Linked DNA regions of Notamacropus eugenii. The protein of the gene in region 1 purifies or fractionates together with the protein of each later gene. This does not show direct contact. Links are inferred from orthologs where the notes say so. Each region holds a gene or a part of one and is shown on either strand. Other genes may lie near its edges. The genes, in order: NUFIP1 and ZNHIT6.

Region 1 (16,069 bases):
CGGGCTTGGAAGCAGATTTGAATCTGAGCACTTGCTCTCATCTGAGGTATCACTCTGGGGAGCCTTACTGAAACTTTTGGCTTTTTTTCACCTATAAAATGGAGGCGAGAATATTTATATTACCTACCTGGCAAGTTGTTGTGATGAACTATCACTGTAAACCTAAAAGTGCTATATAAAAGTGGCAGAAGTACCAATATCACTACCAGTAATAGAAAATATAAAGTACATTAAATCACTCTCCCTCCCAAATCAAGGAAATATACATATGTAAAAGCTATAATAAAGGTATGGATCCTGTCTCCCGATCTTAGCCTTCCTAATCTTCTGACTGCTATTTTATTCAGTTAGTTACTGGTCCTATTTCTCTAGGATCAAACTTCCTAACTTCTAAACACGATGTATTAGGCACAATAAGTCCAGTGAACTCATCAATTTGAAGCACCTGGCCTTAACAGCAACATACTTAACCATTTCTGAATTCTTACTCACTTTCTTCTCTCTTCCCTCCACTTTTCAATTTCCTCTGGAGTATCTAACTTTATCCGCTTGGCACCAGGAGCATGCATCTAAGAGGGAAAAGAATGTTTCCAATGTCACAATGGCTCTGTCTTTAATTATTGGGAATTTGATTATAGAGTACACAGGAGCAACGGGGACTTCGCATAGAAAACCAAGTTCAGCACCAGCCACTGCAATAAAGCTACCAAGTGAGCAGCTTTTAGGTTTTTTTACATTGGGATTTCCCCTAATGAGTTGTGGTGAGTCATGATTAATTCAGTGCTGCCTTTTAGGAAAGAGAGACCTTGCCTAGTAATGAGGTTCGCCAGATCATTTTACCAATGTCATATAAATCTGTTGTAACATTGATGAACATTAAACATCCTATGCATCTTCTTAATTTGACAATGAGAGTAGCTGAAGAGATAACAAGACTAAAAAATTAAGTGTAACTAAGATCTGTCCTATGCCATAATTATTGTAGAGTTGGCAAACCACCAAAGAAAAGAGGCTGGCAAATCTAAGGATAAACCTAAGAGTGGTAACTTACATTTTTCCAATGAATCTGAACAATCTTCTCATGAGCGCTAAAACTGCAACCATCGACCGAGCACTGAGGTAATTTAAAAAAACAAAACATTATTCACTACATTTCATACAAAATGTATTCTGCCACAACACAGACAATGCCGGTATTCAATTTGTTCTTACAGTCAATTAAGCTTTTCGAGGTAAAGTTTATTATCTCTCAATGTTTTAGGACGGAAGAAATACCAGTCCAGAGCAAAGACGGGTGGAAAGGGATTCATACACTGAAAACAGAGATCAAATATAGCAACAGGTTTCCTCACTTTTTGAATGCCAGGATCATCTCAGAAGGAAAGTGAAAAAACACAACACCCTCAATAGAGCCTCAAAAGACAAGGCTTAAAGGCTTCTGTCTAAAAGAACAAAGATTTTTCTTTGCCTTCGCATTCATGGTGATAGGGTCAGCTTGGGGATTTGTATAATAAAGTACCTTTGATGTAGGGGTCACATATAAGACTATACCTTATGGTTACACTGTAGGTGGGATACAGGCTCACAGCAAGTCACCCAATGGGTGCCCTCTGTAACACCACTAATAATTTTTTTTAATGGCTTAAGCAAAATCAAGGACCGCGTTGGCATGGGGAAGCAATGTACCAAAGAACACTACAGAGCCTGATGATTGCATAAGGGAATAGGAAGGGTCAGCCCCACTCCAAGGCATTTTGGGCATGGAATAGAATATAACAGGTAGCTAATACCAGTAACAGATCACATTCATAAAATGCTTTCAATTTTACAAAGCATTTTGTACACTATCTCATTTGATCTTCACAACAACCCTTGGAGATAGCATGTGTATACAAACAGTTGGATTCTTTTTAAAAAGACAGAAACAGCAAAAAGGCCACACCCAAGTTTCTCACCTACCCACTACCACCTGCCTGTTCCCTGAAGAAATCAAGCTCCCCAAAATATGGGGTGTGGCCCCAGCGCAGACTGCCAATCTGTCGAACCTTGTGATGGCTTGACATCAGACTACACTGCTAACTGGTAGGAAGCACTAGCGTACTGCACTTATCAGTTAGCAATCTTATGGAAATGAAATATGGATTGCTAAGAGATACAAAAGTAGAAAGAACTATTTTGAAAATTAAGGATCAATCAGAAAACTTACTGTTCGGTGTTGAGAGATGTGCTCGTCATATTTTTCTTGATTTTTAAAGCCACGATCACAAGTATCACAGTAATGGGTATATACTGGTTCTTTATTTTTCTGTCAGAAAAAAAATGCTATCATTTTTATATATTTATCATTCCTTAAAAAGAAAACCTCTAATAAACAGCCAAAAAAAGAACTTCAATATCAGAACAGGAATGATAACTAGAAAATAAAGAACTAGAAAAACTGTTTTTATTAAGAGCTATTAACATTAGAAAATGTGCATTTTTCCTACCAAAAGACTCTCCTGCCCAAAACTAACCTGTATTTATTTTGCCTATATTCTGTATATATTTGCATACACACGTTGTGCCTCTTCTTAGGGTATACGCTCCCTGAGGACAGGAGCTATCTCACTTTTTCGTTGTATCCCTGGAACCTGGCATAGTGCCTTACATATAGTAGATACTCAATAAATACTTGCTGATTCAAATATAAATAAATAAATAAATTCTAAACATGGTTAGAATTCTCAAGGAAATACACTAAGGAAAAAGATAAACCCTAAAACTTACAAATTCATTTAAATAAAGAAATTTTATTCATTTAAATAAAATGACTATGTTTTAAACAACCATGAAAAATAAACATTGGACCCTTGTAAAGAGGTCTAAAAAAAATTACTTTCAGTTTAATGGCTGTTGAATAGATGGTGATGCAGAAGTCTATCAGCACCCAGCCCTACTATGTGTGCTGTAATCACATTAAAATGCCTCCTGCCCTTCTGCTCCTTAGTTCTGCTTTACAGAGAACCTCTGGCTCTTGGGTGAGACCTGTGAATGTTACTGGTAGGCATTTCTGTTCATTTAAGACAAACAGGACACAAAGCAAAAGGAGAGAATGATACTGGAGAAATGAGACGTTAATGCATAATCTGTAGGTTAAATTAAATTTGGTGTAGGTACAGTAAAAGGTTGTTTTAGTAGTCTATCTCAGACAACTTAATACTAAAAAAAAAATGAGGCAAGAAAAAGAATGTTTCCTCCTTTCTTTGCAAGAATTCCACTGTGCAACAACCCAGAGAGAAAGAGAGAGAGAGACAAAAACAGAGCAAGTACAGATTTGGACTAAACCCAGGATTTCACTAGTAAAGAAAATGCCATTGAGGAAGCTTTCTTCCAACAATGAAGGTCAGCAGATATTACACCTGGTGTGTGCCCAAGGTCATTATGTGTCAGAGGAGCGACTGGAACCCTAATCTTCCAGATTCTAAGGTCATTCTTCTATCCAGTAACTCTAAGCAAAATGAATCTCGGAATGCAGGTTAATTGCTTTCATATTTTACCATTCCATAATTAAATTAAAGTGATTACATACCTAAAACCTCAAAAAAAGATTTTCAGTAGTTCAAAGGTAGAATTATTGCAAGTAAATACATTTAGTAATTTCATTAAATTCAATACTTACACAGCATTTATATAATAGTTCTATGTAATTTTATTGTATATGGAAGTTTTCAAATTAAAATTATGAAAATTGTACACAGTACCTAGTATCCAACTAATTCCTAATTTGAAAGTTTCTGCTTAATGGTAGCCCAACTCTACCTATAGACTAGGTAGACTGGATTCTACATTTACTATGGGAGCATAGTAAAAAAAAAAAAAAAAAAAAAATTAAACCCCCACCCCCACCCCTGCCATACACACTCCACTGTCTGATCAACATTTAACTTAGTATCTAGAGGAGAACCACCACCACAGTAGAAGAAAACCCATTCTACATGAAAGAAGCAAAAACAAAAACCTTACACAGGCAGCAAAGAGCCTATCTCTGAAGACTTCTCTTAAATACCTTTTGTTTCTGTTTTCCCCTTTGGTGATTTTTGAAATTTCGATTTGATCTGTCATGATTTTTCTTGGGGAAATGATAGTTTCTGCCTACAAAACAAAATGAGAAACACAGTTACTTATAATTATTTTTAAATTACACATCACAGGGTATTGTCAAGAAACTGATAAAGCAGAGAAATTAGACATAGCAGAAACACACAACTATTCCTCTGTTAGGAGAAGATGCATTAGGCGAGATGGGATTTCCACAAAATGAGCAGACTCAAACCACTGATTGACCTGTCCATCACAGGCAGATTTAGACCCACCTACTCCTTCACATCCTCTAAGGTAGTGAATTGGCTGAGTTCAATGAAAACAGGGTAATCTATCACCTTTCTCCTGTTAATGCTAGGATCAGCCCCATATTCATCTGCAGTGACCATCCAAGATTGATGTGTTTAATTAATTTCCATAATATTAGCTAATAGGTATTCTTCAAGCATACTTAAAATACCGTCTCATAAAATCAGAATTGTTCAGTCTGATAAATGATGAGCAAGAGGAAAAATATCTTCAGGTTTTAATGCCTACCTATCACACAAACGGACTGTGAAGAAAGGGCTCTGCAAACTTTAAAGAACTAGAGACATGGAAGCTATTTTTATCATTATTAAATACTAGATTTCAACTTGATTTCCACTAGAGGCAGCTGGCAGTACGATGGCTAGAGTGCTGGGCCTAGAATCAGGAAAAGCTGAGTTCAAATTCAGCTTCAGACACTCACTGGCTATGTAACCCAGGGCAAGTCACTTACCTTCTAGTTAAGTTAACTTCCTCAACTTTCAAGTCACTGAAATGAAGAGGACTACATGATGATGCAGTCAGTGACTCAAGTGAGACGCTGCATTCTTGGTGGATTTTCATAATCAATGCTACAATTTTAGCTTGTATAAAAGAGGATTCCACAGTTTTTAAACAGATAATGCCACATGTCACTTCTGCCCGATGACGTTACTGACAGATCACTGCAGACACCATCACCCTGCATCCTCTTTATTCTAAGAAATTGTGCTACACCGTAACAGCTCTGTGCAACAACCATGCCTACTCTATTGTGTTATTCTTGCTATCTTATTCACTAACTCTGCCACTTAAAATCTGGTCCATGAATATTGTGACCAGTGAGAATTACTGAAAGACCCCATATCAAGCACTCATTATTTACTATTAAATATTTAAAGAATAATTTTTTTCTTGCTTCATTTGCATGAAATGACTATCCTCTCACAAAAATGTTTACTAGAGCAACTAACAAAACTACTTCGGTGAAGCCCAGGATAGTAAGATTTCAAGCTAAATGGGGCTTATTTTGAGAATGAGAAAACAACCCAATCCCTTTCTTTTAAAAAAATGAGCAAATCATGTCCTAGAGAAGTGAAATGATTTGTTCAAGGTCACAAATACTGGGATGTTTCCACTAGAGCAGAGTCCTGTCACATAAGCATTGCCTCTGCCCAACCAACTGAAACTATATCACCTTCCCAAAGACACTTCATAAAAGACATGGCAGTTTAAGAAGCTCCTGTTATTCAGACAGTTAAGCTCTCTCACCACTCACTTTTCCCTCCCAACACTACCACCATAACTTGGAAGAATGGAATGGTGGATATTATTTGAGTTTATATATTCTATTATCTAGATCAGACCTGTGGCCCTCAGGCTGCTTATGGCAAGCCAAAGGATTTCGAGTGGCCCTCCAAGAATATAGAGGAAAAAACCTTTTTATGTAGAGGAAATCCTTGGGCATGCAAGCAGCCTGAAGAATGCACAGGCCTGATTTAGACAGAACTTCCCTGGGCAAGCCAAGGAAATGTGTCCTTGCTGTTCTTTGTCCTTTCTTCTCAAGGACCATGGCAACAAGAAGGTGATTCCATGACTTGCAAGTAAATCAGATTTAAGGGAGAAGGGCTGTGTAAAGTCACTAGCCTCACTTTCTCCTCCAAGACAGACCAAGAGACAAGATCTAAGTCAGGATGACTGGAGATAGTCCCCAGATAGGAAATAAGAAGTTAAACTAAAGAGGCAGCACAGTCAAGTAATAAGCACCAGATTTACAATGGGAGGAAGTGGATCTGGACCTTGACCACATCTCTCTGGTCCTCAGTTCCTTCATCTGTGAAATCAGGGATGGTACCAAATTATCCTACAAAACTAATAAGGCCTGGCTAGAAAAGAGCAAAGAGAATAGGTGAAAGATAAAGGATGTAAATAGAGCAAACTGCTGATCTTGAAATCAAAGGGGAGAACTTTGGATCTGAATTGGAAAATGACATTAAACCCTAGAGGTTAGACTTTTGTCTACCAAAAAAAATTATAGTTGTCATTGTGATCATAGATATAAAGCAGAAAGGGACCTTGGAGGTCATGAGTCCCAACGCAGTCATTCTACAGATGAGGAAACTGAGGCCCAGCGAGGTTAAATCTACCAACTTAAGGTCTAAGGTAAGAATAGGAACCCAAGGGTTTGTGATTCCATTGCCAGCACTCCATCCAGTTACACCAAGATCCTTCAACTTCAAACACAAACTCGTAACATCTGAATAAAAGTTCTGTCACAATGAAATCGGCAACATCTCCCGTAAGGTGGGAAAACATTGCAAAATAAATCCTTTGTGAAGCAGCAGAGTGCACGTTGGCTTTGGAAGCCCAAGGCCTTGGATTCAAATCCCATTTCTTGAACTTACTAGTTCCACCACCTTGGCCAAGATATACTGTCCTCATCCCTAAAACGAGCGGGTTGGCTCAGTCAGAGCAGACGACAGAGCACGGAGCTTGGCCTCAGAAACACTCGAGGTCAAATCGGGCTGCAGACACTCACCAGCTGTGGGACCCGAGGCGAGGCACTTAACTTTGTTTGCCCCAGTTTCCGCAAATGAGGTGCAAATAAGATAAAATGTGTCAAGGGCAGGCGCTATAAAAAAACGTTTATTCCATCCGCTCCCACTCAGATGACCTCTGAAATCCTTTCTAGTTCCAAGTCTGACTAAAGTGATCTGAACAAGCCCCTCCCCCACCCCAATTAATCCAAAAATTGAAAGAGACCAAGAGCGCGGCAGTGGGAAGTTTCTGAGTTAACAAAACACGCGGGAGATTGAGGGCGGAGTGAGGACGGAGGACGGAAACCGAGTCAATTCTCGGGGTTGGGGAGGGGGGATGGGGAAGGCCCCTAAGAAATAACAGCCATGGGGGGGAAACGCAGACGACTTACCCGGCAGTTGGTACCAGGGTCCCTGCGGAGGGTCGAAGCCGTCGTAGCCGGGGGTCGGCGCCCAGGACCAGTCCCGGGCCGCCTGGAAGTCCCAGGAATTCTCGGAGGAAGAGGGAAGGTGAGGCGGCGGAATGGACGGCGGGGGCGGCGGAGGAGGAGGAAGCACCCAAGATGTCCAGTCCGCAGACTGATCAGACTCAAACCCCGGGAGCGTTGGCACCGGGGGCGGCCCAGGCGGAGGGTACCAACCGAACGGGTCCATGAAACTAGGGGGTAAGCCTCCCCGGGAAACTGAGGCAAGACCGGCAGCTCGCCAGCAGCCCACAGCACGTGGGCTAATCTCGGAGGCGGTGACATTGTGCGTCATTTCCGCTCCACCAGTAAACACACTTTGGGACCAATGGCTTGTCGTGACGTCACTTCCAGGCGCCGGAAACACTGTGTCCGGAGTTTTCCCCAGACTGGGAGACCGAGAGGGACCCTGCGCGTGCGTATTGTGTGGGGGTCTCTGCGTGTACCGCTACCTGGGCAGGGAGGCTGGGCTCTCCTTGGGCCGCGATGGCCAGGGACCTGATCGGCCCCGCGCTGCCCCCGGGCTTCAACGCCCGAGGGACTGCGGAGGAAGAGCCGGACCTGAGTCCCGGTAAGCTAGGAGGGCCATCCCTCCCCAGGTGAGGCCAGCCCCGGAGCCTCTGGGAGTGTCGAGGCCCGCTATGGGCCGGGCTCCTGGCGAGGGGTGAGAAGACCCTGGGGAAATGACCCTGGCCCTGCCCTCGAGGGGCTTCCCTTCTACCCAGGGGAGGCAGAAGCACGAGAAACAAGTGCAGGGTCGGGAAGTTCACAGCAGTTTTGTGGGAAGGGGCCCGCTGGGGAAGATCAGGAAGGTCCTGCTCTGCCCAGCTGGGCTGTGAGGGATGCTGGAGATTCTGCTGGAGGGGACGTTGGGGGAAAGGGGCGAGGAGGGAGAACACTCCAGGCCTCATCATCCTCATCGTAGCATTTCCGTAGCTCTTAAGGATCCGATCTTCTTTGATCCTCCCAGCAAGGCTAACTATGGCAGTAAGACAAGAAAAAACTAACAATAGACAGGAAACAAAAGTATCACTCTTTGCAGAAGATATAATGCTATACTTAGAGAATCAATTAAAAAAAAAAGAGTTGAAACAGTCATTTATTTGATTCTCGCACAGCAGCCCTGAGATGTGGGTGCTGTTATGATCCTTATTTTATAGATAAGGAAACTGAGGCAGACCAGTTAAGTGACTTGCACCAGGTCACATTTTGGACTCGGGTCTCTCTGACTCTGGTTTCAGCACTCTATCTGTCTACCTGCATAAGGAACTCCTTGTTTAAAGATGAGACAGAAGAGGCATGCAGGGAACAGCAAGAAAGCCAGGTTAGTTGGAACAAAGCATGTTCATCCTGGGAAAGTAGACTAAGAGTTAGGTGGTAAAGTTGTTTGTCAATCAAAAAGCATTTGAGGCAGCAGATAGATGGCACAGTAGATAGTTCTGGGGGCATTAGGAAGTTCTGAGTTCAAATTCCACTTGCTGCCATATCCTGCCATTACTCAACCTCTGTCTGCCTTGGTTTCATCTGTGAAATGGGGATAATAATAAATAACAGAAAGGTATTTCCAAATTCCACTCAGATACATTATAAAAGAAGGAGCAGGCCTACATAAATGGAAAATATACTTTATCATAAAATACTAATTTTACCTGGGGGGTGAAGGAAGGTTGGGATTGGGGAAGCCCTATAAAAATGAAGAAAAGGAAAGGAACCTTTAGGTTTTTTTTAAGGACAAAAATGTGATGAATCTGAACTTCTGAAATTAAATTATCAGTTCATTTTGTATCTGTCCTGCTGAGACTAGGTTTTTAGGAAATTGACTTGTTTTATATGTTGAACAAATTGCTCAGCTCTCTGAACTAATTAATAATACAAATATATTGGAAAGAAAAAATGAATTGCTACAGAGATTAAAAAAACTAAAGAGAAGTATGATATCCTCTTAGTAAAGAAGGCTCAATGGCTCCCTATTGCCTCCAGGATGAAATATGTACAGCCCATAAGAATGTGAGCTCCTTGGTGGCAGGGACCAGGGACCTTGTTTTTGCCCTTTTTTTGCATCTGCAGCCCTTAACACAGTGCTTCACACATGATGTTTATTAATAATAACTAATAATAGCTGACACTTATACAGCTTTTTAAGGTTTTGAAAGAGCTTTATAAACATCTCATTTTCTCCTCTTAGGTGAGGTCTTTCTTGTCTTCCAACTGTTAGTGCCTTCCCTCAGAAGTTACATTGTATATTATTAGTATATTACTTTGTATATATTTACACATGTATACATTTTCCCTCATAGAATATGAGCTCCTTAAGGGCAGTGTCTGATACATTTTTGTACTCCCTGCAGCAACACAATATCTGGCACATAGCAGATACATGATAAATGCTTGTTAACTGACTAGGTGTAAAGAACCGTTAGTCAAATTCATTCACAAAGTAGATACTTAATAAATTGTGTTAATACCTTGATTTGATAGCACTAAGCATTATGGGGAATACAAGAAAAGAGTTTAGAGATCCTCTCTACTCCCAGCAATTTTAGGATCTTTTTATTGAGTGATTTGGAGTCCCATTTGGGACATCTGCCCTAATATTGGTAACACAATACCTCTGGTTTAGATGCTGTCCACACCTTCCACCCTTCAAATACTCTCTTTGGCTATCACTCTAGTTTTGGCTGTATTTCTCTTCCATTCTTTACTAGTTCACTCGTTCATTTCTGTGGGATCCTCTGTCAGAGCCCAACTCTAGACTGTCCACTATCCATCTCCTTCGCTCCTACTCAGCTACTCCAATACCATTATTCATAGTTCTGCTGAAGAGAGCTGTGGGAAGTCAACTACAGATTTGTTATCTATTTCAACTAGGACCTCACTGTACTATGGCAGTCCTTTTACTTTAATTGACTCTGTCCCACTCCTCACAACAACTGTTACAAGCCTCTTAGTACAAACACCTCAGCCTCCCCTTCACATACTCTTCACATATAATCATACTGGCCTTCTTGCAGTTACTTATACAACACACCATCTGTACAGACTGTACCCCATACCTGAAATACCCAACCTTCAGACTTTCAATTCATAGAATTTTTCTTTCAGATCAACTCAAGTGCCATATTGCTTTTCTTGATTCTCTTGTGCAGCTGCTACTTTGTCCCTCTCCCCACCCTTCACCATGTTATCTTATATGTATACTTTTTCCCTCACAGAATGTAAGCTTCTGCAGGACAGTGACTTTTATATTTGTCTTTGCCTCTTCAGAACTTAGCACAGTGCCTAACAGGAAGAAGGCCCTTAATCAGTGCCTATCCTTTGATCAATGTCAAAGCTTGTTAGTCTTTGCTGTTCTTTCCTAAGTGTGGAAACTTTGAGACAAATGATTGATTGCAATGAAGCTGCTATTAATAGAGGTCTTGACCTTGAATTTACTTTCATCTTCTTTACTTTCTCAAAACTGAGTACAGGGTTTTGCACACAATAAGCACCTAGTAAATGTTACTGAGTTAGTGATAAGTGAGTGAGTTTTAGAGCCTTGAAGAGGGAAAATTTCTGTAAAAATGTATAAATAAAGCTAGGAAGCATAGGTTACTCAAATCAGCTGGTCCCATTATTGTCTCTCATAGCCATGGTGTTATCCTATTATATAATGCTTATTTTAAATTATTTTATGTGGAGTGTATAGCTGATTTCACACTTCAGCATTGCTCTAATTTTTTTGTAGTAACATATGCTGTTTCTTGAGTATTATCCTCATCTGTTGAAAGTAATAACAAATTCACTGCAGCACAAATTTAAAATAGTTTTACAATCACTGTAACTATACAACTGCTGTAAATGAAATTACTCTCCAGCATGTACCACTTCCTAAAAATATACTTTTAAAATATTTAATATAGTCATTCATTTTGTACCATTCTTTGCATAGCTGTGCACCGTACAACTAGTTATTTTAAAATCCTTTCCAAACCCAAGTGAGAGAGGCAGCATGGCAGATTGGCCAGAAAGCTGACCTCAAAAACCTGCATTTATGTCCCTCTTTTATCATATCCTGGCTGTGTGCCCCTCTGCATGTCCCCTCAGTGCTCTACTCTGTGCCTGTAAGTTTCAGAGAAGGTCCTAACCTGCTTGGCTAAAGGAAGGTCTTCTTTGGGTACTACCTATGTGAGTGAAATGACAGGTCAAGGCAAAGTCCAAGTACCTGTCCTTGGGGTTTTCCTGGCAAAGATATTGGAGTGGTTTGCCGTTTCCTTTTCCAGTGGATTCTTTTGTCAGGTAATCAGAGGTTAAGTGACTTGCCCAGGGTCACATAGCTAGGAAGTGACTGAGGCTAATTCTGAGTTCAGTTCTTCCTGACTCCAGACCCAGTGCTCTATCCACTGAGCCATCAGCTCCTTCACCTAGAGGCATAGTGTATTTCAATATTGTATTATAAGTGGAAAGGGGAAAGGAAAGCAAGAAAAAAAAAGAGAAGGAAAAAACCTCCCTACTTAAAACTTTAAAATCAAAAGCAAAGAGAGAAAGAAGGTACCATTAGTGTGAGTGAGAGAAGAGCATGCGAAAGTAGCATTCTGACTGAAACAGAATCCCCATTCTGGGGATGATCTTCATTCATCCTAGGTGGTGCTGCCATTCCTTGTTTACAAGGTAAAGTCTATGAGCTACAGAGTGAATTGAGTTTAAGGCCTGATCTTTGAGCAAGAAATGTAGCCAGTAAACCCAGAGGAAAAAAGGCAGCTTTTGGGCATGGAGTATACCTTCCCCTGAGTAGAACACCAGAGGAGAGGAAAGGAGGTACAGGAGGAGAGGACCTGCTACTCACTCACAGGTGATGTTTGTCCTTTGTTCTCAAAGAGGACCATGACATCAAGTGGATGACATGACTTTGATTTGAGTGAGGTATGGCTGTGCAGGGTCACCAACCACACTTTCTTCTCCTGAGCCATCTGAGTCCAGTGGCCTGATATTCATCAGGAGGACTGGAGATGGACCAGGATGCAGTGTGAAACTCTGGTCCTTTCAGGCTATGGTCTTATCACATTCTCACTTTGAGTGAGATATACCCATTCAACGAATAGGCTTTTTAAAGTAGTTACTCAAGGGATGGCCCCTTTAATCAAAAAACAAAAACAAAAACAAAAACCTCAAATCAAAGTCAACTGCAAGTCCTATCATCATCGTGATTTCATGGTCCACTTTGAGAACGAAGGACAAACGCAACAATGACAAGGTAAACAAAAAATCAGAGGTGCATTAGGTGCATGAATTCTATAAACTAGGGGAAAAAAATTATTCCAATTTTATAGACTCAGACAACCAAGGCAACAAAAAAATCAAGTATCTTTCCATATAATTCAGTCTAAAATTATTTGATTCTTAGTCTTTCCACTATATAGCAGTTATTTCTAGGCATTTTCCAAAGTATGGTATTCTTCAAACATTTATTGAATGGCTGCTATATGCTAAGAACATGCTAAGTGCTGGGAATATAAAAGTGAAAGACCACCTAGTAAAGTCCTAAAGGAATTTGCAATCTACTGAATTCTAGGATAGATTCTAAAGCAACCTGTTCTGTTTAATGATATAAAAGAACCTTAATGGAAATTCCATCAAAGTATTGAAGATACTAAAGCAGATAAGCTTTCAAGTTCATCATATTAACTATTTAGTGAGAAATAGAACTCCAAGTAAGTTGCAACATACTTTCAATGATGGATTTGTGCACACACAAAAAAGAGAAAAGAACTGGAAAATGTACATGTGAAAAGAAAGGAGAGTGGTCACATAGTGAGAGAAAAGGAAAACAGATGGACCATCTGAATATTGTATTGGTAGCCCCAAAATATTCACAGACTTAAAAGGTTACCTGTCCTTTGGAAAGATCTTGTTGATTACTTCAGGGTGTTGTGATTTCATCAGTGTATATTTCCTTCACTGATGCTGATTACAACTCCTATATTAAGTAGTAGAAGAGCTGATTTGACCACAAACTCATTACCTTTTAGCCAGCCTGGTGATAAAGTATCCTGGAATCAGCTAGGTTTATCCTTGAACTGCCTTAACTCCTGGTGCTTACTGCAAGGCTTTACAGCTTGGTTGAGCCTGTCAGAGTTTACTCTCTTCTGTCATAGTTTTGGAGCTTGGAGCCTCAGGTCATCTACATACCACTATAAAAATTGGAGGAAGCTGTTAGTGAAGGGTCTTTCTAGAGTAAGAGAACTTATTGAAGGGTTTAAGGAAGACAAAGACCGGAACCACAAAGGATGAGAGAGGGTTGAATCTGCCCTTGTGGAGGAAGTCACATATCCATTACAATGTAACTACTCGTAGGTACCGAAAATACAAAAGAACATCGTTTCTTTTCTTGGGATATAAGCTGAATGCGTACATGATAGTAAACAATACCAGATAGTATATGTAATTGCCAAAGTGCATAGAAGACGGTAAGCTGTATGTGAATGCATAGGAGACCTCAGAGTGGTTAGGAAAGCTTTCCTGAAGGTTGCAGCATCCCTAGCAAATCTTCTTTAGTTGCAGGACCAGCACTGCCCCCTGACTATAAGAGCAGTAGTTCAGACTCATCATCCAGTGATGAAGACAGTGATTCTCCTTTGCCACACCAAGGGGGGAAGGAAGATTCTGAAGAGGAACATGACACTGGTCCAACCCCAAGGTCAGTCATTTTGTTCATAAGTCATTGCTTAAACCTTCTCTATAGGATTGTCTGTAGTAGAAAAGTTGAATATATACAGACAGCTTTCATCTGAATTTGTGTATGCCAAAAGGTAGAAATTATTTCATCTTATCATTAATTGAATCTATTAAAGGGAAATTAATTTAAGTGTAACATGGAGCTGTTGTTTCAACCAGTTTTCTTTTATTTATGAACTTGTCCTAGAGATATTTTGCAAATGACTATTCTAAGTAGATCCAAAAAATAATATCTGTCCAGAAGTTTAAAATATAAATTTGGTTGAACGTATGATTTTCCTTCCAAGACAGAACATCTCTTTAAATCGAACCTCCCCAAATATACATATCCTATGTTGTACCCATTGCTCTAGTTTGACCCTTTTCGAGAAGGATTTCTATCTATTTCCCCATAGCACTTTTCTGTTGCAAGCTTGCTTACTTTCGTCCTGTCTCTACCTAGACCCACCCTTAAGCTCAGCCGTTGTTTCCATTCATCCACCCAAAGACCTGAGTGGCAGTCATTCTTTAGACCATTTGAACACCTGAAACTGCTGGTAAGATCTTGAACTCTGCAGTCCCCCCAGCATAATTTCCTGTCTTTTTCTAGCTCTCACAGCTTGACTTCTTCTACTGTCCCAGCTTCCCCTTGCTCTCACGTGTGAGATGATCTCTGTTTTGGCTTTATTTCCCTCCTTCATGGGCTTGAAGGAGACATTAGCCATTTCCATGAGAGTCTGCACTTTATCCTTATCTCCCTTCCTGCCTGTCTTATCACTCCCAGGGTCTCCCCTACCATCTGCCTTCTTTGCTTCTACTCCAAAACACTTCTGAAGGAACTCAGGAAACTTTGCTCACCTAGGCCATAATAAATTCATGGTATCTGATGTTCCTTGCTTTCCCTGGCCCCTGCACAGCAATCATTTTATTCATTTCTGACTGACTACATATCATACTCTGCACAGGAGCTGTTCCAAACCTCCTTCTCTGTCTTCAAGCCTCCAGTTCACCTCCATTTCCCTCCTCCTCCCTCCATCACTTTTCCCTCTCTCTCAGAAAACAATCTTACTTTATACCAAGAAAATTGAAGCCATCAGTTGTGAATACCTTCATCTTCTGTCTAATGTGACTCAATAACTTCTCTAGACCCTCATCCATACTCTTTGCTCTAGTATCCCAACTGAAGTGTCCCCTTTCTTTGTTCTTGCTTCCACTTTTACCCTGGATCTCATCTCTCCTGCCTCCTCTTAGACTCTGATCAATCCCCTTCTCTTTTCTTCTGTCAGCCATCTCCTTCCTACTGCCTACAAGTATACTAAAGCCCCCCATCCCAAAAAAGACATTCCTGTCATCCCTTCCAGCTATCTTCCTATGTTTTTTCCTCTTCACTGCCAAACTTCTGGGGAAAGTTTGCCTGCACTTACTTCCTCTATTTCCTCACTGCCCAGTCAGTTCCTCAGTTATTCCTGCTTATCTCACTATTCTATTGAAACTGATCCCTCCGGTATCCCTAGTGACCCAATTGCCAGATCTGTGGTCTATTCTTAGTCCCTGTGACTTTTACAGTATTGACATTATTAATCACCACTTCTCAGCTTGGTAATTTTCTCTCCCCTTGAGCTCCCTGACACTGCTCTCTCCTACTTCTTTTACTACTTGTCTGACTGTTTTTTCTTTCTTTCGCTTGATGGTTCATCATCATGTACCTAAAAAATGTAGTTGACCGCCCTCCCCCCCATCACTTATCCCCTGCTTCTAGCTCTAACCTTGGTCCTCTTTTTCTCTATAAATATAATTCAGCAGTCATTTAAGAAGTGCCTAATTTTGTGCCCAGACCTGTGGCAGCCACTGGGGTACAAAGACAAAAATAAAATAATTCTTTCTCTTAAGGAGCTTATATTCTACTGAGGGGGAAACAGCATATATGCAGGTGAGTACAAAATGCATTCTAGATAAAAACAAAATAGTTTGAGGAGTGAAGATAATGGAATTACACTCTCATTCTTCACAGTC
Region 2 (16,069 bases), on another chromosome or scaffold:
AATATCTTTTAAGTAAGCCATCACATAAAAGACACTCTGCTAGGGTATTGGCCATACAAAGATGAAAAAGATGTGTTCTGTAGCTAAGTTTACAATGTAAAGGGAGATGAGATATGAGCACACAAGAATATGATACACACAAAGGAGAGTCTCACAAAGTACTCTAGGAAAATCCAGGTAATGATCACTTTATCCAAAAACTTTTATGGATACTTTGTTTTTGTTACAAACGTTTACAGATTACCCCTACTTATGGAAACATCTTTTGTAACTATGTAAAACAAAATAATTAACTAAAACTAATGACAGAGTAATCACAGCTGAAACTGGAAGCAACATTCCCCATCCGTAGCAACCCAATTTTCTGTTTTTAAAATACTGACAAATCATTTTCTCTCTTCTGGAAAAAAAGGAGATTCAGAGAATGGACAGGTAGCCTCTTTTTTGCTCTCCTATTCTTCAAGGAAAACTGGACTTGAGGAGAGATGGAAAGGACTAGAGAAAGAATTCTGAAGATATCAATAGAAGTTATTTTGAAGAAGAGAACAGGGGGAACAACTTCCTAAAGTGATTCTGTTACTTAACAGGAAACAGACACTAGATATGAAGAGCAGCACAGTCCTAAATGGCACCATCAAGAGCCAAGACCCAGAATGAGCTAAGGAAAAAAGAGCTTTTTAGATGAGTTGGAGTAAGGAATCGAGAAGATTACGGCTCAGAGATGAAAATGAATAACAAGGTAGAACTACCACCTCATCTGGCTTTGGTTTTCTCTTCCATGGACAGTGATTGTTAGACTGGGAAAAGACCAGGATAGAAAAATTAGTTAACAGGGACTTCTTGGGTATCTTCAAGAAGGCTGGGTGACTACTTGTTGGATATATTATAACATGGAATCCCTTTCCTTGGTGGGCTGGATTAGATGGCGGTTGATTTCTCTCTTCAAATTATGCCAGTCTGTGACTGTGTGACTTGAAATAAAAGATAAGTGAAGATAGCCAAGAGATCACCTCACTCCCCTCAATGAGTTCAAGTCACAAGCCCCGAAGGATCTAGAAACCAGGTACCAAGAATTGGTCATTTTTTGAAAAATGACCATGGAAAACAGAAGACATCCTGCAGCAGTAAGTAACTGTCCTCATTTTTTTAAAAAGGGAATTATGTTTGGCCTCCAAATTGCCTGCCTCACAAGGCAGGGAAAATTCTCGAACACAGCATTAAAGGGACGGTTTCTGAGAACTCAGAAAGAGAAGCTATAAGCAAAGAAAGTCAACACGGATTTATCAAGAACAGGCCATGCTAGATCAACTTCATTTCTGTTTTTGATAGTGTAATTTGACAGGCAGATTTAAGGAACTGTGTACACATAACATATAGAGATTTCAGGAAAACATCTGACAGTCTCATGCAAGCCTTCTGAACAAGCAGAAGGGACATGGGCTGGATGATAAAGTTAGATGGATTTGGAATTACTTGAAAGGCAAGATCCAAAGAGCATAGAATCTCATCCCCAAAACCTATGCTCACAGTAAGAAATTTCAATGTTATATGCTGCTCCCTTAAGTATGCTAAAATTCCAGTTCAAAAAGTACTCAGCTCCCATATTACGCTCAATAGCAGCTCAGCATTACATAGTACATAAAAACACAGGGACAGTCTTTCCCTTGACTGTCATAACCTATGTTCAACTTCCACGCTTGAGATCTCTGAAGTTCTATTATCTGCTCATGCTCTTTTATCATGCTCTCTCTTCCTATGCCTTCTTATCCTAAACCTACTTATTTAAGTCTTCATTCTTAACTGTGGCCTCCAGGCCTTCTACCTCTTAAGTACTTTCCCAGGTCAGCATCCTTGCTAGAGCCACAGTCCCCACTCTTCCTAATTTCAGTATCTTGGTGAACCAATTCAATTTTACACTCTGCTTTGCACACAAATTCCTTGCATCTTTGTCTTATTGCCTCTTGTGCCTTGCTAAAGCCCGATATTGAAATATTCCCACCAGCTCCTCTGTTTCTACTCACATGCAGCTGAACAGAGCTGGAGGAAGTCATTAAACTACCATATCCACTACAAATTTAGGGTGTCTAATCTCAGCCAGGCCCTCATGACAGCAATGCAGTGCTTCTACAGCTCCCCTTCCTGAGGCTCTATCCCACTCAACAAAGCTATTCCCAACTTTCTACTCTCTCAAGCCTCCCACACCTTCTTAGGTACACACTTCACATGGCAACTTAAAAAAGAAAAGAAAAAATCAAGGCCATCTGGAGAGTCTTCTTCCTTTACTCCACTCTCACATGAAGAAAAGGTGGCCCTTCTTGCCAAAGACAATCACTCTACATGTGTCTGATCCCTTGGCCTCTACCTCCTTCAGCAGATTTCCTTCCTGTCGCCTCTTATGCTAAACTTTAATCCCTCTCAAACGTCTTATTCCTTCTCTGATGCCTAAAAATTTGTTTCCTTGTTCCTTAAAATCCTCAATAGATTCTGCTGTCCCTCCAAGGTCCCTCCTCTATAAAATGAGATTTGACTGCTCATCGCCTAAAATCACCTTCTGATCTATGATCATGTGACTTCTAGAAAACTTAACACTTCCTCCTGGGCAAGAGTAATTCATCCTCACAGTCTACTTCATTAGTGTGATAAAGAACACACTAGACCTCAAAAGTAATTTATTAAATACACAATTTAAGACATTTCTATAGCAACTAGATACTTACTTCTTGTCAAACACTGTTGAATTCTCTCTTCTTTTGGTAAAGCCAATAGGTAAGATTCTTAAGTCGATATTGTGTCTCCGTGCTCGGTTTTTCATGTAATTTAACTAATAAACAAAAACTAAAAATTAAACTCAAATAGCTTATGCAACTTCACAACTGAGTTAAAACTCTGAAAAACTAATGAACTCTCAATTACTTAAGAATCAATATAGAGTCCATAAGTATTCTGATTTCTCTGTCTGCTACATTCCCTTTGGCCATTTCTTATGGGGTGTGTGTGTGTTTGTCCTTCATTGCTGAAGAAGACCATGCCATCAGATAAATGATGACATGACTTGCACTTGGCTTTGTTTTGAGTGAGGGAGGGCTGTGCAGGTCACCAGCCTCCTTCTCCTCCAGAGCCATCTGAATCCACTGACCAGATATTCAACAGGATGACTGGAGATGACCCAGGATGAGGCAACTCGCCTTAAGTGACTTGCCCAAGGTCACACAGCTAGTGAGTGTGAAGTGTCTGAGGTGACATTTGAACTCAGGTCCTCCTGACTCCTGTGCTGGTGCTCTATCCACTGTAATACCTAGCTGCCCTGGCCATTTCTTATTAGCACTTCACTAAAAAGTCAAGGTCAAGGAATAAAACAAACTGAAACTGGTCAGTTTTGCTACTCTTATCTCTCAGAATAATACTGATAAGGATGATGAAATCATTCCATTAAAACTAGATACTGTATTCAATAATCCATGCACTCTACGTCCTTAAGGTATGATAAAACCATTTTGTTATTTTAGTAACAATAATTCACAGTCTAAAAGTTTTGCAAAGCATTTTCTCCTCATAAAAAGTAAGAAAAGTAATGTATGATCTCAATTTTATAAATGAGGTAATTGAGTCTCAGAGAAATTAAATGATAACTAAAGTAACACCCCTACTGTCAAAACCCAAACTCAAACTTAAGTCTTCTATCTCCAAAACCAGTGGAGTATATCATTTTAACATTATTAAACATGAAATTCCATATTTAACACTATTTATTGGACAGCATTATTGCAGCATGAAACAGGTACTACTTGGATACCAGGAAGTGGCATGCTTTGTTTAATTATATAAGTAACAAAAGCACTTAGTAATAATAAATGCCTTTCACCAATAAAATGAGTTACTATGATTCTGAATTATTCATGGCCCGAAGTAATGCCAGAGCAAACTTTATCATGTTCATCTCATTAGTAGTTTAAGAGAGTAAGTATGTGTCATCAATGTCCAATAAACCAGGCAAAATTGGTGGTATCATTTTTTTCTGTAGAAAGTCAAAAAACCCACTTGGATTCAGAAACAACTATTGAAAGGCAATGACTATGAATACTAATATATTTAAAAATGAAAATCTCTTTGTGCAGATAGGAAGTAAAGAGCTTTGTAAACCTTAAAGATGCTATATCCAAGTTGCTGTCATACTACTTTGTAGAAACTTTAGGGCTAGGGACAACAAATTCAAATGATTCACTGAAAATTTTTTTCACTACCTGAAGTTTAATTTAAGAAGCTATATGTCACTTTAGGCCCTTTATTGTTAATCTTATCTTCTCAATGCTCCAGCTCATTAGTGCCAAATTCAAATAGAAGACCATTAAACTATATAAAGATTCCCAAAGGCTGCATATCACACATTAACATTATCTATATTCTACTATATTTTTATTTATTGTTAAATATTTCCCAATCTCATCTTAATTTGGCTCAGTCTTGGGTCTGACACCTTCACTCTAGCTGATTCTCTAACATGAAATGTGTCAACTGGAACTGATAAAGAGTTCAGTCAATATCTCTAAGGGTAATCTGATTTTTAGACTTAATGTTACACAGTTCTAAAGAAAAATTAAAACATAACATTACATAACAATCTTTCTTTCAGGCACTATGCACATGAATAGCTGTCTACTGAATTAGCTAGTCCAAGAAAAACAGTAATAATAAAACTGGTAGAAGAAATTTTTTTTTTAAAATATGATGTTTCTTTGCTAATTACTCTACAGAAAAATGAATAATATTTGTGTTGATCATTTTTGAACACATTTTATGTTCACAGGAAGTTACATCACAATGTTGAATTTTAATTTTATAGTTATTTTAAGGAAAAGTCTTACAAATCTGGAGCACATAGCAGGGGAAAGAACACTAGATTTGCAAACAGGACCCAGGTTCATATCCTGGTTCCACTACTTATCACCTATGTGACCCTGGAAAAGCCAACTTTTATAAGCTTCAGTTTCCCTAAGGAAACTGAACTGACTTATCTGAAAGGTCTCTTTTTGCTTTAAATTCCATGCTCCTATGAACATGAAATCTATATAATACTCAATTGCTGTGGTCACCTTCCCTTAAGCCTTTGTTGCCGTTATTTTTAGTAGTGTCCGACTCTGTGACCCCATCTGGGGTTTTCTTGACAAAATATACACTGTTTGGCCTTCTTCTTCTATATTTCTTTCTATAGCTTGTTTTACATATAAGAAAACTGAGGCAAACAGGGTTAAGTGACTTGCCCAGCGTCACATCTAGTAAGTGCCTTAGGCCAGATTTGCATTATGAGGCGTCTTCCTGACTCCAGTTGAAACACTAGATGTACTGTGCTACCTAGCTGTCCCTCTCTTAAGCTAGTTAAAACTAAGAAGCTTATTAAGAAAAATAAATACTTACAATTCTATTTGTTGAGGGTCTTTTCAAGAAAACATCTCTAGCAATGTAGTCAGCTGATCTTCCCACATCTTCCAAAAACCTATAATCTAAATTTTTTAAAGTACAAAAATCAGGTGACATGTCAAAGGAAAGATACATCAATTAGTTACAAATAAGATGAGATATTCTGCCTTACCACTTAGAAGATTAATTTCAGTAAACTGTTTTAACGAGACAAATGCTGTCTTCTCTCGAATTCCATTGCATGTAAGCTCTGTTTTGTGTTTCTTCACACATGCTAAACTGAAAAGGCAACATACAAAAACTGTGCATTTTCATTCAGAAGTATAAAGGGCACAAGCAGCAGGAAGAGGACTAGGTCGAGTTCATACCTGCAGGAACATTTCATACAGCGTGGACACCTGTACTTTGCTTCTTCTGTACCACATGTTTCACAGCTACAAGAAACAAGAAACAAAAGCCCATCAAATATGTGTAATTCTTAAAATAGCCAAAGTTGTAATCTACTTGTAGATGAATAAATTTCCACAAAGAACTTACACACTTTTACTAACTCAGGCATGTACAAAAGTAACCTTTTGGTTAAAAAAAACAAAACAAAACAAAAACCCAAACCCTTCATGGCCACTCATCATTCTCCTCCCAGCTCCGCTCAGGACTTCTCAGGGACTTGGCCACCACACCTCCTTTGTTGGTTCTCACCCCACTGGTCACAACCACCTGGCACTTCTGTTTTTAAGAAGGGACCCAGGAGGGTTGGCCTTCATTCCCTTTCTGGCTTTGCTTCTCACTCTGCAGACGTAAAGTCTACGTGGACATTCCCCATGGAGATACCACTTCTCTTTCCTCAGATCCCAGCTCCCTTCAGTGACGTCTTTCCCACTTAGAATGGAAGTTCCCTGAAGGCAAGGAGTATCTTTTTTTGGCTTATATTTCTATCGTCAGGGCTGAGCACACTATCTGGCACAGAGTATGAGATTAATAAGCGTTTACTGTCTTAAATCCTTATGGGAGGCCTCTTCCCAATTCCGGATTTCTTCTCTGGTCAGTCAGCTAGCATTTATCTATCTCCTACTCAGTGAAAAGTGATATGCTGTGCTGGGGATACAACAAAAGACAAGACAGTCTCTACTCCCAAGGAGTTCACAGTTTGACAACACAGGAAGACAACATGCAAGCAACCATGTACAAACAAAATGGTAGAAGATATACTGGGCACAATAACAGGGGGAAAAGACTAAGATTAAGGAGAACTGGGCAAGTTTTCTTGCAGAAGGTGGGCCTTCAGCTGGGACCTGAGGGATGCCAGGAGGCAGACATGAGAAGGAACAGGGACAGTGAGGCAGTGAAAATGCTTTGGGTCAGGAGACAGTATCTTAACCAAGGCACAGCAAGGAGGCCAGTGTCACTGGGTATGTGGGGTATAAGGTCTAAGAAGACTGGAGGCAAATAAGAGGGCTGTATAAACCAAAGAGAAGATTTTATATTTGTTCCTAGAGGTGACAAGAAGCCATTGGAGTTTATGGGATAGGGGATGTCATGGCTAGACTTGAACTTTCAAAGAAAGATCCTTTTGCACTGAGGATGGACTGGAGTGGGCAAAGACTTGAGACAGGAAGATCTACCAGCAGGGTATTGCAACTGTTCAGGGATGAGGTGATGAAGGCCTACACCAAGGTGGCAGCAGTGTCGGGGTGGGGGAGGTCAGGGAGGGCATATAAATGAGATGTTACCAAGGCAGGAAAACTGGGAGATAACAATTGACTGGATATAGTGGGGTGAGAATAAGGAGTCAAAGATGACACCTAAGTTTGAGTCTAGGTGCCTGGGAGGATGATGGTGGCCTTGGCAGCAACAGAGAAGCTGGTTAGGAAGGGAGGGGAGTGGGGTTTGAAGGGAAAGATAATGAGTTTGGTTTTGGACAAGTTAAGTTTGAGATGTCTACAAAACATCCAGTTCACTATATCCAATAAGCAGCTGGAGATGCATACAATGGAAGTCAGGAGAGAGGCAGAGGCCTGGGCAAATAGATCTGAGAAGTGTTTGTTTAGAAATGATGGTTGAATTTGATAGATGACCAGTGAAATGACCAGAAGGGGAAGAGAAGAGGGCTCAGGACAGAGGCTTGGAGGGTACCCTTGGTTAATGGGCATGATCTGGATGAAGATCCAGCAAACAAGAATGAAGAGGTCAGACAGGTAAAGAAGCAGACACAGGAGTGTCACAAAAACCTAGAGAGAAGAGAATATCAAGGAGAAGAGGTTGATCAACAATGTCAAAGGTGGCAGGTCAAGAAGGAGGGGAATTGAGAAAGGACAGTAGATTTGGCAATTGAGATGACTGTTAACTCCTCTGGAAAATTCTCCAATAACAATCAGAATTAGTATTACTAGACTATATGGATCAAGGAAAAGTCATCCACTCATTTTTCAATATTCTAATGAAGTTTACTGAGGACATCAGATAATTCTTCCAATTTTTTTTCTGTCATACTTAGTAGCATCATACAGAATGACTCTAGTTCACCTACAAGCTGAGTTAAAAATAGAGATCAAACCTCCCATGAAGAGAGAAAGTCTTCTAAATTAGTCTTTTCTCTGATATAATATTGACCAAGGCCACTAACAGTGGTAGTTATGGGGTTTGAAGCCAAATTAAGAATACAACAATACACTGCTGCTAATTTAGGAAACAGATATTTCCTTCTCCCTTCCAACCACTCTGACCTAATATTTTCAAATGAACTTGTAGTTTTTTGTGCTGTTGACAGATGAGCCATCTGTTTTCTGGAGAATAAGATTCCCTCCCTTCCTTTCCACCCCTCCATTTCCTTTCTGTTTCCTTTTTCACTGCATGACAACATCCCATTTCTTCCAGCATTCGTGATTTCATCACAATCTTCTACAATTCAGTAAATGACCTTTGAAATTGCTGTGGCTGCAACATTTGATAACCCTATGCCCAACCTAGGTAATGAGCCTCTCTCCACATTAGCTAGGCTGGTTCTCAGATATGCCATACATGTCTATCATGGGGGCCGTACAAATCGTAAAAATTCAGAATTGGGACGTTAGTGGCTATCCAGTCCAGCCTACACTGAAACGAATCCCTACAACAACCTACCTGACAAAAGAGCATCCAACTATGCTTAAAAATTTTCAATGAAGGGAACCACCCACTACCTCCAGAGGCAGATAGCCCACTTCTTAAGAAATTTTTCCTTATATCAAGTCTAAATTTTTTAAGTTGGCTTCTCTGCCATTTTCATTAGCTGCTTCTTGTTCTGCCCCAGCTCAACTAGGAATGCATCTCTGTGGGCTGCAGGCCGACTTAGGAAATCATGGATGAACATCATCTAGGCTATATTGTATTTTTATTTACTTTGTTTAACATTTCCCAAGTACATCTCAACCTGGTTCAGGGAGCACTAGGGAGGGTTGCTGGGGACAGCAAGGTTGACACCCCTCTGCTCCAGGGTGCACCGTGGGCAAGCTACACGACTAACGTGTGCTTGTCTTTCATTGCCGAAGAAGATCATGCCAGCAGAGAAATAATGACATGACTTGCACTTGACTTCGTTTTGAGAGAGGAAGGGCTGTGCACGTTGTCACCAGCCTCACTTCTCCTCCAGAGCCATCTGAATCCAGTGACCAGATAGTCATCAGCATGACTGGAGATGACCCAGGATGAGGCAACTGGGGTTAAGTGACTTGCCCAAGGTCACACAGCTAGTGCGTGTCAAGTGTCTGAGGTGAGATTTGAACTCAGGTCCTCCTGACTCCTGCACCACCTAGATAACCCTGGTGAAGATGCTATCCATTTTACAGATAAAGAAACTGTGGCAGACAGCCATTAATTAAATGTCTTGCTTAGGATCACACTGGCTATGTCAGATCTTCCTGACTCCAGGTCCAGGATTATCCACTGTACCACCTAGCTGCCTATTATAGATTAAATTATAAATCAAAGAGGATAAATTTAAATAAAACCCAGCATAGAAATGTAGGTGCATTTTCATCTAAAATTAACCTAGTCCCAGAGTACATAATTGCTTCTCTCCACTTGGAAAGAGGAAGACACAATTAATAGAAGTCAAGACAAAAATCTAATTAATTCATTCGACCTGAAAGTCTTCAACCCCCAAGACACGTGTGCTCTGACTTCCTATCCTCCTACAACCCACTCTGGTTCTTCCCCAAATTCCACCAACGTCAAATACCCCACTGAGCCTGACAACCCAGTTAAGGCTTCAAGGGCCCTATGGAACCCTCTGGATTCCAGTTCTGTCTGCCCCCCTGAACCACCTGGAACCCGCCTCCCTCTTGGCACACCGACCTGTCACTCTCATCCTACCTGGACATGGCCAGCTTCCGCTTGCTGCCCACCCGAGGCTCCCTCGGCGGTTTCTGCTCCTCGGCCAGCTCTGCTCCATCTTCCCTGGCGCGGGCTCCAGCCATCTCCTGCTCCTTCACCCCCTGTCCAGACATCACCCAGCCTTTTCTCCCCTCCCCTCCTCGTCGCCTCCTGCGCTCTCCCATCCTCACCCCATTCTCCCTACTTCCTCCTTCACCTCCACTCTGCGCCTTCCTGGGATGCCCTCCTCCAACCCGCCAGCTTCTCCTTCATTTGTGGTCTACCCACCACCTCTTCCACGGCCTCCAGTCCGTCTACTCCGCCCATTAATTCCTTTCTCCTCTACTTCATCTCTAAATTCTTGCTTCTCCTCTATGGTATCGACTGACTCCTGCTTCACGGCTGCCCCGTCTATGACGTCATGCTTCCCCTCTATCACGTCTATGATGTCACGCTTACCATCTATCCCCTCTATGACATCCTGCTTCCCCTCTATCCCGTCTATGACGTCATGCTTCACTCTGCCTGGTCTATGACATCCTGTTTCCCCTCTATCCCGTCTATAACGTCCCGTTTCACGTCAGCTTCCTCTCTATCCCGTCTATGACGTCCCGTTTCACGTCAGCTTCCTCTCTATCCCGTCTATGACGTCACGCTTCACGTCTGCCCGTCTATGACGTCCTGCTTTCCCTCGGATCACACCTGCGTCCCCTCCTCAGGCTCCTCCATCACCTCCGCCTTGATCTGCGGCCCGTCCCCCTCCGGCTCCAGTTTCAGCTCCAGCCCCATCCCCGGGACCCCTGGCCCTTCCCCGGGCTCGCCGTCCCCGCCGTCCCCGCCCTGCGCCTCAGCCATGTCCTCGCTCCAGGCCCCGCCCCGCTGGGCCCTTCCGGAGCCGCCGGCGTCCCGGCCCCCCAGTCGCCGCTCCGGTAACCGCGCCGCGGGAGAGCGAGTGAGCGACTGCCCCTAAACCGCGCGCGCTGCCGGCCACGTGAGGCCACGTGAGGCCACGAGCCTCCACGCGCTCCAGCCTCCCGCCGTAAACCACACTCACCACCAAGTCGCGCCAGCGCCGCTTTACGACCTTTTCCCGACGCGAGGACAGCTGCGCGCGCGGTTTCCAAGGAAACGGAAGGCGACCGGTCGGCGAGAACCAGCTCGGGGCGGGACTTCCTCTTTATTGACCCTATCGGCTGCTGGCCCCGCCCAGGGAGTTTGGGCGGCTTGCTCCCGTTTATCCAGGCAGCCGGAATTTGAACTTGGCCCGGGTTCGTTTAGTACTTACCTACTTTAATTAATCTAGATAGTTAATTAGAATAAGATTGGAAGCTGCCCCGGGCGCAGCTCCCTCCGCCCGGATGCTTCCCGAGGCCTCCTCCTCCCCACCTCCTTGCGGCCCTGGGCTCTGATCGTCCCCTTGGGACCCGGATCCCTCTGACCACTTCCTGCCCCCCCAACCCCCAACAGCGACCAAATCAGCGCTGGAAGGGAAGGCGCCCCCCCTCACCCGGGGGCCCCCTCTCTCCAGAAAGTCGTGGGTCTCCCCCCACCCGCCGGAGATCAATAAATAGTCACTGAGCTATTGGGGAGCCTGCCCCCTTGCTGATAGGGCTTCTGGGGCGGCCTGGAGTCCTCCGTGCTTCGTGACCACGTGTTCCCCTCCCCCCACCACGGTGCTGGATTCCGCCATCTTCCCCTGGAACACGTGGCTCATCGCACTTCCCCAAGGCCCCACTCAGCACCCAGCAACTCCCAAACCAAAGAGCCCCTCCCTGGCCACCGCACTGCGCCCCGCCCCCGACCCCCATTAGAACTGAAGCCCCGGCTTGGCTTTGGGGTTGGTTTCTGGGCGCTTAGCCCTGTCCTTGGCACCTAGTTAAGCGCTCTCTCATTCATTCCTTTATTCATAGTCTACACTGGGAAAGGGAGCTTCCCCAGCTGTGGTTTTTGTTTATCAGGAGGACAACTATGGGTCTGGGCCCTGTCCCCCCATCCTGTGTAGACACGTAGATGGTGATTGAGATGTGAAGAACCCTTGGACTGTGGAGAGGCACAAGAAGGGTTGAGAAGAAGAAGATTCCCCATAGAGTGGTTTCTGTTAAGTCCTAAGGAAGAGGAGACTTTCCCATTTATTCTGCACTCTCACACTGTTGCCAGATTAATTCTCCCAACCACAGAGCTCTGACCCAGTCCTTTACCTTTCAGAACCTCCAAGGGTGCTCAAGTGACTACTAATTAAAACCTATTTAGTGGAAGGGTTTGGTGAGGTGGTCTGCCAACTACTGCTCATGTGACTTGAGGGGGCTCATGTAAAACTCTTAGCCTCAGTTTCTTCATTTGTAAAATGAGGGAGTTGAAAGAGCAAGAAGGATATTCCACAAAGCCTCCATTCCTGGTATCCCTCAGTTGTAATGACTTTTCACTCCTAAGACTTTTTACATCTATTGGAATATGGACTGCTAACTGGTTCAACATCACAAGCTGATTCTATTTTATCAGTTAAAATGACAACTGTACCCTCACGATTACAGGAATTTTCCATCATATTTGCAGCTGAAACCTTCCATAATGTATTTTTGAATTTGAGCTCCTTAAGAGCAAGGGACTATCTTTTCTATTGATATGCCCAGTGCTTACCATTGTTAAGTACTTAAAATAAAAGCATACTCATTCACTTATCTTAAAGATATATGTCCTATGGTCATAGCCAAAGTCACAGAAAAGGTTGCCTCAATTCCCTCTCCCCCTACCTAATTGGCAGATAATTTTCAATCATCCATTTCCCACCCCCTAAACCCAAGGCTTATTCTTTTATACTTTTCTCTCCACAGTTTTTTCTTTTGATCTCATCAGTTCCTATTGGTTCATTGTTTATCTTTACACAGATGAATACCAAATGTGTGTGTGTGTGTGTGTGTATGTGTACACTTGCGCTTCAGTACTAAATTGCAAGGTGCCTGTTGAACATTTACACCTGCATATTACAGTGTCATCTCAGACTTAAAATGTCCAAAATAGAACTCATTATCTTCTCCCCCTTCCCCCACTTTAAGCCCAACCTGTCTTCTAACTTTTCCTTCTTTGGAATTTCTCTTTGGGACTCCACAATCCTTCAAGTTGCAGGGGCTCAGAATTTCCTATTCTCCTTTCCTACTCTCTTTTCCTATAGCCAGTCAGTTGCTAAACCTTATCCATTCCACCCTCCCATTTTCCCCCTGTCCCTTCCCAATATATCTCACATCCAGCCCCTTCTCAACACTTACATAGTCATCACTCCTAGTTCAGCCTTTATCACCCTCTCATCTGGACTGTAATTGGCTTCTCACTGGTCTCCCTGTTTCCTATTTCTCCCCACCCCAATCTATCAATCACCCAGCTGCCAAAGTACTTTTCCTAGGGCACAGGTCAACAGTTTTTGGTGTCTTCTTGTTGTCTAGAGGATAGCATGCCAAGTCTTCAGCAGGACATTTGAAGTCCTGCACCATCTGGTTAAGCCTATTTTTTCAGAAATGTTTCTTAGGACTCCACATATTCTATATTCCATTCAATGGTTGTTTAGGCGTTTTCAGTCATGGCCAACTCTCTGTTGACTTCATTTGGGATTTTCTTGGCAAAGATACTGGAGTGGTTTACCATTTCCTTCTCCATCTCATTTTATAGATGAGTAAACTGAGGCAAACAGGGTTAAGTGACTTGCCCAGAGTCATATGGCTAGTGTCTGAGGTCAGATTTGAACTCAGGAAGATAAGCCTTCCCAATTCCAGGCTCAGCACTCTATGCACTAGTCAAAGTGTGACCCAAACTCTACATTCCAATTCTGCGCTTTCACAAAGGTTGTCCTGTATGCTTGAGAGGCATTCTTTCCTCACTTCAGCTTCTTAGAATGCTTAGCTTCAGTCAGTGCTCAGCTTAAGCATCACCTTCTAAGAGCTCAGGTACCACTTTCTGATTTCCTGTCTCCAAATTACCTAGAAGACTAAAAGCTCTTTGAAGGAAGGCACTTTACCTCTGTGTCAGTAGCTCCTAGCACTATGCCTTACGAATAGTGAGCTCTTGATAAATTATCTATTCAATTGAATTAAATGGAATCATCATGCATTTTTGGCTATTTTGTCTTTATTGAGAAGGGCCTGACATTAGTCACAAGTTTGGGTTCTAGCATTTATATCCTCTGCTAAAACTGTAACCCTCTCTTCTGGGGATTTTTCCTTACCTTTTTTTTTCACTCAATATAATTTAGTCCTTGTTTAGCAGCTTCCTACTTGTTTACTCAATTCTTTCAATTTCTTTGGTGGTTTTTCCATGAGGTTTTCCTTGTCATGAATTATTTATTTTTCTGTCTTTTTTCTGTTGTTTTCCTTTTACTTTATATAGCTTATTTCTCACTTCTTTGAAGTGATGAAGGGATCTGGACTTAGCCACGACATCTTACTTAGCCATCTTGCCAAAAGTCTCCTTTGAATTAGCTTTTTTGGCTGCCATCATGTGCCTTTGGCTCACATTGAGCCAGCAGAGACTCAGACCTTTCTCAGAGGAATAGCTCTATAGTCATACTTCTCTTGTTTTCTGCTCAATAGAGGTGGAGTGGCATTAAATGTATTGACTTCACCATTAGGGTGGTTTGACCCAAGGGAAAGAAATGTGTGGTGGAAAGACATGGATTTTGGAGTCTTTCAAATGAGGAAAATCCCAGTTCTGTGCATTCCTAAATGTGTGACTTCTATGGACCTCAGTTCCCTCATCTATAAAATAAGGATTTAGATTACATGATTTTTAAGCTCCATTCTAGTTCTAAAGTCTATGATCCCACAAATGAATGAAAGAAAAGACATTTGTTAATAGCTTACTTTGGGCAAAATACTGTGCTATATACTGGAGATATAAATAGATACCCAAGGAGGGACCAAGAGAGGGAGATAATATATACAACAGAATTCTGATTCTGGATGAATGGAAAGGCCCACCAAGAGGACAGTTGTTAAGACCTAATGTGTGTGTGTGTTTTTCCTTCTTTGCCAAAGAAGACCATGCCATCAGAGAAATAATGACATGACTTGCACTTGACTTTGTTTTGAGTGAGGGAGGGCTGTTGTGCAGGTCACCAGCCTCACTTCTCCTCCAGAGCCATCTGAATCCAGTGACCAGATATTCATCAGGATGACTGGAGATGACCCAGGATGAGGCAATTGGGGTAGTTATCTATAGTGTGAAGTTGCAGGGTAGATTGTAAATTCAGGTGTTCTAGAGCACTTGTGGAAGGCTCTGGTGATCTAGTTGGCAAGTATCCAATTTGTCTGGAGCATAATGGAGAAGTAAGGCTAACGTGCAAACACATTTTCTTGAGTATCAATTCATTTGATAAAACCATATCTGTTTCTACCATTGAACCACTGGACAGTGCAATATGATATTATCTTTCAATCTGATGGCTATATTTGAACCTTTCCCTACTATTATTATATTCTCCATCATGGCTTATTCTAAAGGCCAAAACAAAAACTGCTGAGAATATCCAGGCTGACAAAAAAAATCTGAATTTCCTTTGTGGTATTTGTATTTGTGTCTTCATCATGTTTGGACAACAGGTGGGGAAAAAAAGTTAATAAATACCCATCTAAAAATGAAACTGTAAGTAGTTACATTCCCTTTGACCTTGTGATGAAAATATACTCTCATCACATATATTAAATGTGGAATCTTAGAATATTTGATTTATCATTGTTATTTGAAAAGTTTTATGTTCTAATTTTACTGTGTTGACTAGCTGATCCATGTCAACAATAATTGTTGGGAAATGTTAATATTCCCATTGATTGTCAAATTGATAGAGATCCAAGAAACTTTTTTATTTCCTTTGTATTGATGGAAATCCATATATGCTATGTTCATTCATAAAGTAAATTGTCTTCATCAAACTGATCTGTTAGTATTTACTTTAAAAAAAAAAAAGGGACCCTTTTCCTTACATGCCGGATATGAACCAGTTCAGATATGCACACTCAACAAAATCATTTTTAACAGATTATTACTGGAATTATTTTTTATATCTTTGAGTAGACCTGAGGGCCCTGCCAGGGTGCCAACTCAACTTGCCCATAAATTTCTGCCCCTTTGAGGTAATAATAATGGCGCCATTTTTCTACTGTGGCCCTGAGTCACACAAGGGCTTTGAATCCAAAGCACACAGATTGCATAACCATGTACCCAGCACTAGGTGACAACGACTTCATCGCACCTATTTACAGCCAATTACCTATAAGGTCAGGGGGAAAAAGTTACACTTGGTCCTTTCACAGAAATGCCC

Evidence for each region.
Region 2: the proteins of NUFIP1 (region 1) and ZNHIT6 purify together in Homo sapiens (affinity purification with western blotting; 3 studies listed by BioGRID and IntAct, with this or other methods). This does not show direct contact. The link is inferred for Notamacropus eugenii from reciprocal best matches to the Homo sapiens genes NUFIP1 and ZNHIT6.

The regions. Positions count from the first base shown.
Region 1 is NC_092877.1:295,518,568-295,534,636, forward strand, and holds the start of NUFIP1 (FMR1-interacting protein NUFIP1), read right to left. Parts: upstream 7,853-16,069; 5' UTR 7,662-7,852; coding exon 7,295-7,661; intron 4,132-7,294; coding exon 4,046-4,131; intron 2,306-4,045; coding exon 2,207-2,305; intron 1,115-2,206; coding exon 1,052-1,114; intron 570-1,051; coding exon 493-569; intron 1-492. Other genes in the region: GPALPP1 (GPALPP motifs-containing protein 1), read left to right, coding at 7,853-7,937, 13,898-14,039. UniProt on the Homo sapiens protein: Binds RNA.
Region 2 is NC_092873.1:495,144,064-495,160,132, forward strand, and holds the start of ZNHIT6 (box C/D snoRNA protein 1), read right to left. Parts: upstream 11,041-16,069; 5' UTR 10,621-11,040; coding exon 10,468-10,620; intron 10,467-10,467; exon of another isoform or gene 10,093-10,466; coding exon of another isoform or gene 10,054-10,092; exon of another isoform or gene 9,983-10,053; intron 9,888-9,982; coding exon 9,766-9,887; intron 5,850-9,765; coding exon 5,784-5,849; intron 5,695-5,783; coding exon 5,588-5,694; intron 5,499-5,587; coding exon 5,413-5,498; intron 2,822-5,412; coding exon 2,718-2,821; intron 1-2,717. UniProt on the Homo sapiens protein: Required for box C/D snoRNAs accumulation involved in snoRNA processing, snoRNA transport to the nucleolus and ribosome biogenesis.